Linked DNA regions of Drosophila melanogaster. The protein of the gene in region 2 interacts with the protein of the main gene of each other region in a pairwise test. Each region holds a gene or a part of one and is shown on either strand. Other genes may lie near its edges.

Region 1 (4,344 bases), on a different chromosome or scaffold from region 2:
CAACCAGCCGCTGCTTCTTCGCGTGCGCCGAGCCCTTGGTCGCGATGCACCCTTTCAGATGCGCTACCTAGGAAACCCCGAGGTGGATCTGCGCCGGCCTACATTGGTACGCAGCTGCATGGACTGCGCCTGCACCAATGGCATTTTGGAATTCCTCACGGAAATGGGCTTCCGCCTGGAGTTCGAGTACATAGCAAAGGGTTGGAATCATGAAATATATTACGCTTGGGTTGCCAAAATGGATAGTGACAAATGGACTTATTTCAGGCTATATGTTCCGCAAGGGGCGCATGAAGATTACCGTCTCCAAGCTCATTAAGATTGTGCCCGGCAAGCAGCAGGACATGGCCAACGAGCCAATCTCACAAAGCTACATAGTGGAACTCTCTGTGGTGGCGCCAACGGGGCAGGAGAATGTCGGCGAGGAAATGCGCGTGTTTGCCGAGCAACTAAAGCCACTCGTGCAGCTCGAGAAGATCGACTACAAGCGACTGGGCGGCATGCCGTAGTTTACAATAAAAGTGCACATCGCATTTATCCAACAGTTATTTAATTTCTTAAATGTAAGAAAATATACAAATTTACAGAAAAGAACCGAGAGGGAATGATTACACTGCCAGAGTAAAAAATATCTCAAATTCAACCTTACACACCCACATGACACGACAACAACGGACTTTCCCAAAGCAGTGATAAAGAAGCTGCGGGGCGGTTAATCCTTAAAGGCCTCATTAAGAGCCGCCAGATTGCGATCGCTCACATAACTCTGGAGATCGCTGCGGCCCATCAGCGAAATGACCATCTTCAGCGTACTCCAAATAGACTCGGACATCTGGTTCTGTCCTCTAAAGGTAGCCGCCATCGCCGCATTGGGCAGCTCTCGGGCGGCGTTAGTGTGAGCCTGCATGGTAAGCGCTGTGAGTAAGTGCTCCACAGCTTCCTTGTAGGCCTTAAGGTTCATGCAACATACGCCCACGTTGTAACGCACACGGATGAAGCCCGGTTGGAGCTGCAGCGCCTGCTGATAAGCCTCCACCGCCTCCACGGAGCGCGAGCCGTTGGCCAAACTGGCCCCCAATCGGTTCCATGTCTTCGCATTTTGGGGATCCACCTGCAGAGCGGACTGGTAGCAGTCCACCGCCTTGTCGAACTCCCCAGATAGATTGTAGAGCACGCCGAGGGCATCCTGGACTTCGGCATCCACCTCCGAAGGGTGCTGTCGAACGGCTTCCAAGTAGATCTGCTGCAGATCGCGCAGCTTACTCGGACCAATCAGCGACGAAGCCAACGAAGTGCCCTCGGCCTGCAGCTCCGGATGGGCTGCGACCAGGTGCTGATACTTGGGATGCACTGTCAGCCAGTTGCACAGCATGCGCACGGCGTTGTTCTGCAGGCCCTCGTTGGTGTAGCACGCGGCCAGGGCCATCAGGACCTGTTGGTTGTCCGGTTGCAAGTCGTAAGCCCGCTTAAGTGCCGCAATGGCCTGGGGATCCATTTCGTTCTCTGTCTGCGAAGTGCCCAGCAACTGCCAGACCTCAGCGCGCTCCGGTTGCTTTTTGGCCGCCACCTCGAAACATAGAACTGCGCTGGGTATATCCCCTTTGGACAGGTACTCCTTACCCTTTTCAAACGGGTTCTCCACATCAGACATGGGGTTGCCCTCGGCGAACTCGTACTCCTTATAAGCGTCCATATTGTCGTTGTACTCCGACAGCCACGGATGCTCGTTCTCGTCGGCCAGCTTCTGCCACTCGTCTTGCAGCCGCTCCCAGAACTTTTCGTTGAAGTTGGCGGCGGTTTGCTCTTTTTGTTCGGTGCTGCGCTGGTAGTCGCTGATCCAGTCGTCCAGCGATTCCCCCTGTGGCGCCTGTGGCAGATGATCTGTGATTATAGTTTCCATGGCGGAGTCAAAGAAGGGGTCCTGTTGCTGTCCTGCCGCAATGGGCATCAAAGGCTGACGCAATGGCGGCAGGGACCGAAAGTTCTGGCTACTGATCAGGGGCTCGTCGAAGAACTCCTGGGCATGCTGCAGGTCCTGCTGCTGTGCCTGCATGTGGATCATCTTGTTGGGCAGGGCGGGTGCCAGTCCGCGGGCAAAGTCCTGTCCCCACTGCTCCGCCTGCTGAGAGTGCATCTGCTGCTGCGGATTTCCGTGAATATTTATGTCCCGCATCTCCTGGAGCAGAGTGTCCATCTGAAATGACTGCGGTGGGGCAGTGACCTGTCCCAGGAACTCGTTGATCAACTGGTCCTCGGGACGAGCAGCGCGCTCGAAGTGTCGCTGCACATAGCCCTCATCCTTGTGGGCAACATCGCGGGTGAACTGTCCGCCCAGTTGCATGAGAGGATTAACTCCACCGCAGTCGCCCTCGACCAATGGGCGGAAAGACATGGTGTTCGAAGTGGAGATGCTACGTAACTGGGGCAACCAACGATAAGAAAAGGGGCCAAATCAGGTCCAAAACAAAAGTCCAAATGTCACAAAGATTACCTGTTTATCGGCCGTTATCGAAGCTATCGGCTTTGTGACAGTGTTGCACAGCGCTCTAATAATAATAAAATATATCGCCGCGCAAAATCTTATCCGCCAGAGAATTGGTTTCGAACGCCAAATCCCCGACTGCACCATGGACTACGACCTTTTTCAGTCGGATGACGAGGAGATCCTGGCTACCTTCATACAGGCGACACAGAAGCAGGAAACCCTGAGCGCGCAAATAGACGTGGACGATAGCGAAGAGGACCTAGTCGACGGTCTACACTTGCCCGAGTTCAACTGCAGTGGCCGAGACACTCTGAAGAGCCAACTGTGCGAGGGAGGCTTTCTGGGGAATGGCTACGCCCAATTGGATCCGCCCCGCTCTCGCCTGGATTATCTCTGTTTTGACTTTGCTCCGGCTCAATTAGCGGTTGGCGCGGTAAGAAACTACCTGTACGGCGAGGCCTGGTGAGTTTAGAGCTCCCCTGGCAGCTGCCAACAAGTACAACTCTTCCATTCTCAGTAAGAATGTGCAGAAGCTGTTAACCGTCGTGATGGGCCAGCAACACCTGCAGGCCACGGCCGCCTCTATGAACTCTGGTTGGTATAGAGTGCGCCAGCAGGTCACACACTTCTACCATCTGATGCTGCTCCTACGAGGCAATGAGCTGCTGCCTTCACATTTTCTTGATGGGTTTCGACAATTGCTCAACGATCAGCTGGATGCGGATACCTGGAAGGTTTTGTATTTTGCGGAGCACAACAAGGGAAACGACTGCCAGGCGCCGGCGTATCACCTGTATCACGGCGTACTGGAGTGGCGTTTTCTGGACCTGCATATACTGTACGCCTCTGGGAATGATCAAGCGTTCCTAGGGCAGCTGGAGCGCACACTCGACGATCTGATCGTTTGTGCTGGACATCACTACCGCAGCAAACATCGCTCGGAGCTCATCCATTCCTCGCCGTTCATGTGTCGCTGCAACAAGGAGCTGTGGCTGCTGCTGAAACGTCTTATTCCCAAATGGCTGGGAGAACGGGAGCTAGACTTTTGGACTCTATTCCACAAGGCCATGCAGAGGCACAAGTCACTCCACTTCCAGGGTGAGTGCACAAAGAAGCTAGACCGTGCGGCTTCCCCTCATCTTATAGTCGTTTTTCTTCTCGAGGTGAGAGCAATGCAATTTCTCTGGCATACCACGAACTCTATTCCTGGTTGAGGCTAGGACTGGCCCGCTTGGACGAATACAACAGTGAGGGTTGGTACCAGCCGGATCACTCGCCGCTCACTGCGGCACCAGAAAGCTTCCAAACTGCCAGTCTGCTTAAGCAATTTCTGGCGAGCCAGCCGGACGAACAGCAGCGGCGGGTCTACCTAATTCAACTCTCTCCCCTTCAACTGCAGCTGGGCAAGCCGGATACTGATGTCCTGTGCCAGCTGTGGGAGTACTTTCACCGATCCCTCAACTGCAATTTTAGTGTGGGAACTGAGCTAGATCAGCTGCCGCTTACCTGTTCCAATGGGTCGGCCTACGTCGATCGCTACAACAAACTGCTGTCTAAGTCGCATATAGAAGATTTGAATCTGAGCAGTTTCACCATGTACGCGTGGATGCTGGGCAAAACCTTGAAGCTTTTACCATCGCAGGGCAGAAGCAACCAACGTCAGAAACTACTCGGCCGCATATTCAGCAAGTTTAGTGCCGCGAAACTTTTGGCTCTGAATGAGCCTGGTATTCACCATGTGATCGAGCTGTTTCTGTGCCTGCTGCTCTGCCACGAAGATCTCAGCGAGTTGGCGCCCAAGCTGCGCGAAATGTTGCTCTGCCTGGCCCTGGAAAAACTGCCTCCGGTGCGAAGGATTC
Region 2 (7,764 bases):
TCCTCCAGCAGGCTACAGGTGATTGGGGCCCTGCGGCAGTTGTCCTTCACCCGACGACCCTGGGCATATAGCTCATACTGTTGCCACACTCCTTTGTCGCGCAGCAGTTCCGCTTCATCCTCGAAGAATCCACTTCTTCCCAGCAGTGCTAGTCCTTCATCGCGAATGGCACGCCAATTGAGCGTCAGCTTCTCCAGCTGCCTTTCATAGCCCGTTTCCTTGGGCTGCCAAAATGGCTGTGCTCTCAACCTGGGCTCATTGTACAGCGATCTCTGATAGAGGCTGGCAAAGAATCCTTTGGCAACACCTTTACCGTACACCTCAAGAGCTTCTGATTTCATGGACAGGCGCTGCATGGTCTCGCCCAGCGACAAATAGAAGAAAGCCTCTTGCGTGCCCTCCTCTCCAGACTCCACGGCATATTTTAGATAAGGCAGCGCCTTGGCGTAATCAGCATGGAACTGTCTGAGTGCTAGTCCATAATGAAGTTGAGCCACTGCATTGTTGGGCCAAAGTTTCAGGGTCTCCACAGCCACCTTTTCAACCTGCTGAAGACTGGGAGACAATCATAAAGTATTTGTAGCTCAAAGTAGCCTATCTTACCTACTTGTTTACCATAAGATAGGTGAGTGATAGTTGGTTACGAAGCCGTGGATCCTCAGGCAAACGATTGATGAGCAGCTCATGGATGGTAGTTGCCTGTCGGTGGTGACCTAGAATTCAATAGGCAATGTAGAAAGTGAAACAGATTAACAGATTATGTTAACTTACCCAAAAATCTCAAATTCTCGATGCAGCTTTCGCCGGCGGTTTGAAATTCCTGATTGCTGGCTACAAGCTCGCCAAAGGCCAAATATCTTTTGTAAGCATCGATGGCTTCCCACAGGCGCTGATTGCTGCGCTCCTTTTTGGCCAGTAGTTCCAGAAGTCGAGCTCTTCCCAAATGGGCCGATGGCTCGTGGGCAAAGTTGGTGGTGAGCGTGTTAAAGGAACGCAGGGCTTGGGCATAGTTCTTTGGGGTGGATATTAGTTCGCGATTCGCCAGCCAAAACACAAAAAAAAAATGGTTAGACAAAATACGAAAGCATGCAATTAGTATAAAATCATTCTCTCAAGAATTGAAACGCTGTTGAAAGGAGTTCCAAGGATGAGCCCGCGATCAAAGTTTACTCCAAGTGGGTGTGTAGTTCTTGGAGTAACTGGTCGTGGGTTCATCCCAATCATATATGGGTCTCTTGAAATGAGCGTTTCTATAAATACATGAATAAGGTTAAATCCTATCATTTGATTAATTATCCTTTTTTGTTCTTACATGACTAAGCTGTTATATGATCTAATGAACTTGACAAGCAAACATAAACTAAAGCTTTGAAATGAGATTGTGTTTTTTGTTTTTTTGTTGTGATGTTCTTTAGTGATTGTTGAGCTAGAGATATATCGAAGATATATAGTTCACGGGTTAATCCAGGTGAAGGAGACACCTTTTGGTTGCGACATACCTCCCTAATCATCTCCTCGTTTGCCTTGCGCAACTCTTGCTCGAAAGGATCCTCTTTCTCTGCGGGAGCAGGTGCAGCTTCTTTCGGCTTTATTTCTATTTAGAGATTAAGAATCTGAATTAGAACAAATTGTTTTCAACAAAAAAAATGAAGTGAAATTTTGAACGGTTACGGCCTAGATAGCTCCACCTTGTGTGAGGTGTCAGTTTGTATATCCTATGGCTAACACTTACGATCTGTTATGTGTAAAGCGATCGGTTTTTGGTCGTGTGTCTTAAAGTAGTGTTGGGCCTATGATTACGATAGCTTATGTGATCGATCGAATATATGTTGGATGGAGAATGGAGTCGGGTGGTCATCGACAGACGTGGTGATTTGTGCGTTTAGTAATTACGTGTCCAGCTGGGGTCGTCAGAGTCCGGATCGCTCTCAAACTCCTTGACGGGCAGACGACCGTATTTCGCTTCCAGCCGGTTCATCAGATCGGCGTCGTCCACGTCGGAGATTTCGTCCTCCTCGTCGGTGATCTCCTCATCGCTAACTCCGTCATGCTCGTAATCCTCGATAGCACCATCTTCGTATTCCACGTAGATATCGCTGTGACCTACTGGCTTTTCCGGCTCCTTTTCTTTCTGTTCGGGTTTGGCATCCTTCGTAGGCTCCTGGGCGTATTTGTACATGGCGCTCAGTTGCTCAAATGTCTCGGGCACATAACTGGCCATGGAGGCCACGTTGTCGTCGTTATCGTGACGTACTTCCTCCTCCTCCTCCTCAATATCACTGATTTCCACCTCGATTTCCTCTTCGATTTCGATTTCTTCCTCGGAATATTCTTTTAAGACAATGGGATACGACTGAAGTTAATACTCTGGACTTGGCCAGGCATATCATACAGCATAGGCTTCCAGATCACTTGTCAATCAAATGATTTGGAAGCAACTTCGGCTAGCCGAAGTTTGCAATTAATAATTCATATCTCCAACCATCGTCCAAAGGGGGCAGCTCCTCCACATCATCCGGTATGTGATCCTCAGCAGTGGCAATCGTCAATCTTCGCCTGAATATAGTCTCTGGTGCGGGCTCATCCTCAGCTATGCATTCACCACGGAAGATTCGAACGTTATTCGAGTTAAGGGATTATTAATCGAGCAAGAACAAAGCCATTCAACAATTTCCGTACATACATACATTGGTCGAATAATAATTGGAACAAAGCTGTGACTACAATCAGATTCAAGAAATAATATAAAATCATAATCAAAATAAGCTAACTGAAGAAAGTGCAAAATTTAGACAGGGCCAATGAGTTCTCATTCTAATGAAACCAAAAAGAGAAGTCATTGCCCAGAGTTTGTTTTTAGTTTTGTTAATACAACGAGAATAAATCACGAGACAATGAGGTCATTTGCTGATTTTACCAATCGCTTGGTGGGTTAGAACGAAAAGCGGCGCTTAGTAATAGTTACTGAAAAGTTTCCCCGGAGTATGGTTTATTTGATTAGCATAACATTTGGCGTGCTTGTCGGATATGATTGATAGAGATCAAGAGCAGAGAGCGGAATACAAAGAGCGGAGATTCGGGGGAGCAGATCAGCATTGAAGACTCACTTGTATTTGGACTTTTCCTTATCAATACAAGGCGTGAAACTAAGGCAAGTGCAACGCCAACGCCAAATTTAACGGCAACTGTAAATGAGTCAGGTTTTAGTATGAGAAAACAAACAAATGCCTTTTGCACTTTCTTGTACAATTTCGGTTTCTAAGTTCTTGGTTGTGTGTGGTTGTGCATATTCTTTCAGTTTTGGTAAGGTGGAGCATATTTCAGTCGGTCAGTTCTTATGGTTCTAAGCCTGCGAGATCCGTTAACCGTTCAACTATTCATTCCTTCGCTACTTACGTGATGCCAACCAAGAGGAGCCCTCTTCCTTGGGCTCCTCCTCATCAGCCTGGTCTTGATCCTGCTCCTCACTCTCTACAGCTTTTGCTGGCACTGTATCCTCGGGATCATTTTCGAATTGCTGAGCCAGGGACTCAAATTCGTCGTCATCCCCATCATCTGCATCGTTTTTGTCTTGATCCTGCAATAAGAAAGTTATTTAGCAACAAATAAGAAAACCATTTAAACCAACAAGCAATTAGATATTTTACTAACATCATCATCGTCGTCGTCATTATTATCTTTGGCGGGAGCACTTTGTGCCGCATATTGGGATCTTTCCGGCTCTACTGATTCTTCGATCTCTTGCTCTTCCTCATCCTCATCCTCATCATCTTCCTGCTGCGAAATTAATTAATTTTTGGAAATATTCAATCTTTTCACAAACTAAGGATCATACCTCCTCAGCTTTCGAGAGCGGCGCTTCAGTGGACTCTACTGCATCATCATCTGCTGCTGCTTCGTCCTCATCATCTTCTTCAGCTTCATATTCGCCAGTGGCTTCCGTAGTGGCTTCAGTGGTAGCTTCTACAGTTGCCTCTACGGTGCCTTCATCATCGTTATCCTCCTCCTCTTCCTCCTCCTCCGCATCCTCGGCAGTTATGTTTTCACCCGCATTGTTCTCCTCATCTTCATCCTCCTCATATTCTTCATCTGCCGCTGGCTCATCCTCCTCAGTTGGCTCTTCCTCTTCCTCCAGTTCTTCTTCTAACTCTTCTGTGAGGGGCTCTTCGTCTAAAAAGTGTTCATATATTTAAAAGAATTTATATTAAGTTAATATTAACATACCTTCGTCTTCATGATCATCATGGTCGTCGTGTTCATCGTGATCATCTAACGCCTCTCCCGAGGGTTCCTGCACATCGTGACCATCATGCTCATCTCGATGTTCGTCCACCCAGCCATCAAAAACTTTCGAGAACCTAGACTCCGACAGAGGAGTGTCCACTAAAATAAAACAGGTATTCAGTACAATTCAAATTTCTAAGAATTCTATAACTTACGATCCTCCAGTCCGCGATTCTCCATGATGATCAGACCCACCAAACCGAGGAGCACTGCCATCAGGGCGAAGAATATAATCTTGGCGCACCAGTGACCGCCAGTTCCGTGATCGTGGTGCACATGCAGGTGGAGATCTTCGTTTCCCATCTTTGTAATGTGAACGCCGTGCGAAGATTCGTCGTCATCTGAGATCCGACATTTGCATGATAGTGAATAATAAAAAAACACATGTGATTACAAGCAGTTTAATTGAATCCACCTTCGAGTGTTTTACTTGGTTTTAGTAACTGAGCGAGACATTCAATTAATTTGGCAAAGCATTCCGGGGTGTGTTGGGAAAAATACATATAGGGGGGTATCTATTTCTCTACCTTGAAAACTGGACTGACGCAGAACAGTCACATCGCCCTCGGACTTGCGATCATCTAGACGAAAAGTTAGTTACAATGAGACATATACCGGCATTACAAGCTGATAAGACGGCGCCGGTTGGGGGGAATTGTTTATGCCTAAATATGCGCAACGATAAACAAAGAAGCCGCCCAGTCATGCTCTTGGGCAGTTGGCCAAGTGAAATTAAATGGCTTTACACATATATGCACCATCGTGGCTACTTATTTCGGTGCCGTGGGTGTAATGGCCCCAGAATCTTTACGGAAGCATCATTATCTGGTATCTATTGTAGTATCTGTGTATGTAAATCTCGATCTCTGTTGCATTGGAATTAATTTGCCGAGAAGGTGACGGAGCTCTCCATTCTCCAATGAGATAAAGATAACGCAGAGAAGAGAGCAATAGAGAGAAAAAGTGGCAGAGAGAGATAGCAATAAGAGGATACCCCAGGGACAACGAAACATCTGTTTGCCTTGGGAAAAAGATAAATAAATCAGGGAAAACCACTCTCTCTGATTTTTCTCGATTTTTGCACACCGATTCAATGCCCTTTTTCTTTGGCTACCGATCGAAATACCCACTTTATGGTCTACCTCCCGCCTTCCTCGCCCGCACACATGTCATGCATATATATTTTCCTGCTCGATCGGCACACGCATAGCGACAGAAAACAGGCGAGATGTATAATTTTATATAATAGGGCAAAGTTATTTTTAAAGGCACTCGACAATATTATTATGCTAATAAAAGAAATGAACTGCTTGCTACGCGGCGGCGGCGAAAAGACAAAACCGTTTTTCACACCAAATAACGGTCCATTCGAGTATGATTGTAAGTAAAAGTACCGTAACAGGGACTTACCGCGTTTTCGGCGCTTATCCTTGCGCTTACGCGGCTGCACATCGCCCGACATTTTGCTCGCTAAAGGCACTAAAACCTATGCCAATATAATGGAGAGTGTTTGTTTTTCCTTTTCGAGCGGACCGGGCAAAACGGGCGATCTGGATCGACGAACAGCACGTTACTAAATGCAAATACCGCTCGCACCGTGGGAAAATTATTTATAAAGAGACAGTGGCGTTGCCAGATCCGGCGGGAATGATGAAAGCTAGAGATGACAGCTGGGCAGTAAAGGCACCGCTATTTCAATTTTATTATTCTGGATGGAAAACTCATGACAGCTCTCAAAAACTATATTTACGCATAAATATTTATACATTTATTTAATTCTAATAATTATGTTTTATTTTAAATCGTGTTGTGTCGATAGATTGAATTTAATTTTAACAGTTCAGCAACGCAAACGTTTAGAAAACCCAAATGTAATTTTTTCTGTTACTCGTGGATTTTTCATATTTTATGTCTATGCGCTATCCATACAACAGAACAAATTGATTTATTTGATTTAAAATGTAAAGTGCTCAAAGTATTAAATACAAGTAAATAATTTAAATTAAAAAAATTAGCTTTTTTTTAAATATCGCATGTCATTAAAATTCATGCGCACTGCAGTCTCCAGTATCGTCACGCGCCCATCTCGAAGGGAACCAACCCCGACCAAGAAAAAAAAAAACAAGAAAATAATACACAATTGGCGACGGCGGTGCAGAGGTTCTCCGTGTGATCCGATCGAACGGGACTAGGACCGACACGGACCAGGTCTAAATCCGCGAGGTCAGCGGTATTATGGCCGGCGACATGTCCATCGGCTGTGCGGCCCTGAAGCGATCCAGCAAGCTGAGGTCCTGCACCAGCGCCGCCGACACGGACTCGATGCGGGTGCCCAGCGACCACAGGGACAACGGGAGCCTGATCAAGCCGCCTCCGGTGCCGCCGCAGAATATGCGCGGCGGTCTGCGGGTCTATAAGATTGTCATCCTGGGCGACGGTGGCGTTGGCAAGTCAGGTGAGCTATTCTAGCCATGGATTAGACGAAAGAAAATGCCGAGTTATCACTGCGCACTTTGATTGGGGCTGCGAAAAATCAATAAATTATCTCAATTTCTTTTACGCTTTGTTTTGACCCCCGTACCACCGACACCCACGAAACTCCACCAACCACCACTCCCAACGCCCTCTGAAAACGACGACGAAACCCGAACAGCTGTCACCCTTCAGTTCGTGAGCCACAGTTTCCTGGACTACCACGACCCCACAATTGGTGAGTAAGGCGCAGGGTGCGCAAGGCGTCTAAGGCACAAGCCCCCACAACCCCACTAAATGTATACCGGTTTTTTTTTTCTTTTTTGCTGCTGCAGAGGACTCCTACCAGCAACAGGCGGTCATCGACAATGAGGCCGCCCTGCTCGACATCCTTGACACCGCCGGCCAGGTGGAGTTCACGGCCATGCGGGACCAATACATGCGTTGCGGCGAAGGTTTCATCATATGCTACTCGGTCACCGACCGCCACAGCTTCCAGGAGGCCTCCGAGTACAGGAAACTAATAACCCGTGTCCGCCTGTCCGAGGACATTCCGCTGGTTCTGATTGCCAACAAGGTGGACCTGGAGTCGCAGCGACGCGTGACCACCGAGGAGGGCCGGAATCTCGCCAACCAGTTCGGCTGCCCGTTTTTTGAGACATCGGCTGCACTGCGTCATTACATCGACGAGGCATTCTACACGTTGGTCCGCGAGATTCGACGCAAGGAAATGCACAAGGCCCTGGGCACGGACTCCAATTCGGAAAAGATTCACACGGGGCGACGAAGTCGCTGGTGGCGCATCCGATCCATTTTCGCATTGGTTTTCCGGCGCAGACGAAACCTTAACTAGACCAGGAGGCGGATTCCTTGAAATGAGTGCAATATTAACCACAAAAACCAAGTAACTTTTGTTTGCTATATTTTGTATATAGCACATACCCATCAGATACAACATACAAAAGAGAAATTAACCGATCGAGGAGCAGATAACTAATTGTTATGGCC

The links. Proteins that work in one complex are often made in the same cells at the same time.
Region 1: the proteins of Asph (region 2) and Pex5 interact in a two-hybrid assay, tested with the Drosophila melanogaster proteins (one large-scale study listed by BioGRID).

The regions. Positions count from the first base shown.
Region 1 is NC_004354.4:1,866,296-1,870,639, forward strand, and holds Pex5 (peroxin 5), read right to left. Parts: upstream 2,630-4,344; coding exon 2,492-2,629; exon of another isoform or gene 2,420-2,491; coding exon 713-2,419; 3' UTR 537-712; downstream 1-536. Other genes in the region: MED18 (mediator complex subunit 18), read left to right, coding at 1-200, 268-509; CG14803 (uncharacterized protein), read left to right, coding at 2,628-2,947, 3,003-3,583, 3,649-4,344.
Region 2 is NT_033778.4:16,108,602-16,116,365, reverse strand, and holds the start of Asph (aspartyl beta-hydroxylase), read right to left. Parts: upstream 6,036-7,764; 5' UTR 5,747-6,035; coding exon 5,695-5,746; intron 4,866-5,694; coding exon of another isoform or gene 4,812-4,865; intron 4,626-4,811; coding exon 4,440-4,625; intron 4,384-4,439; coding exon 4,225-4,383; intron 4,171-4,224; coding exon of another isoform or gene 4,165-4,170; coding exon 3,836-4,164; intron 3,778-3,835; coding exon 3,652-3,777; intron 3,578-3,651; coding exon 3,397-3,577; intron 3,186-3,396; coding exon 3,108-3,185; intron 2,591-3,107; coding exon 2,483-2,590; intron 2,332-2,482; coding exon 1,894-2,331; coding exon of another isoform or gene 1,883-1,893; exon of another isoform or gene 1,733-1,882; intron 1,595-1,732; coding exon 1,500-1,594; intron 1,427-1,499; coding exon of another isoform or gene 1,412-1,426; exon of another isoform or gene 1,013-1,411; coding exon 772-1,012; intron 714-771; coding exon 608-713; exon of another isoform or gene 604-607; intron 556-603; coding exon 1-555. Other genes in the region: Ric (Ras-related protein interacting with calmodulin), read left to right, coding at 6,520-6,739, 6,938-6,994, 7,092-7,609.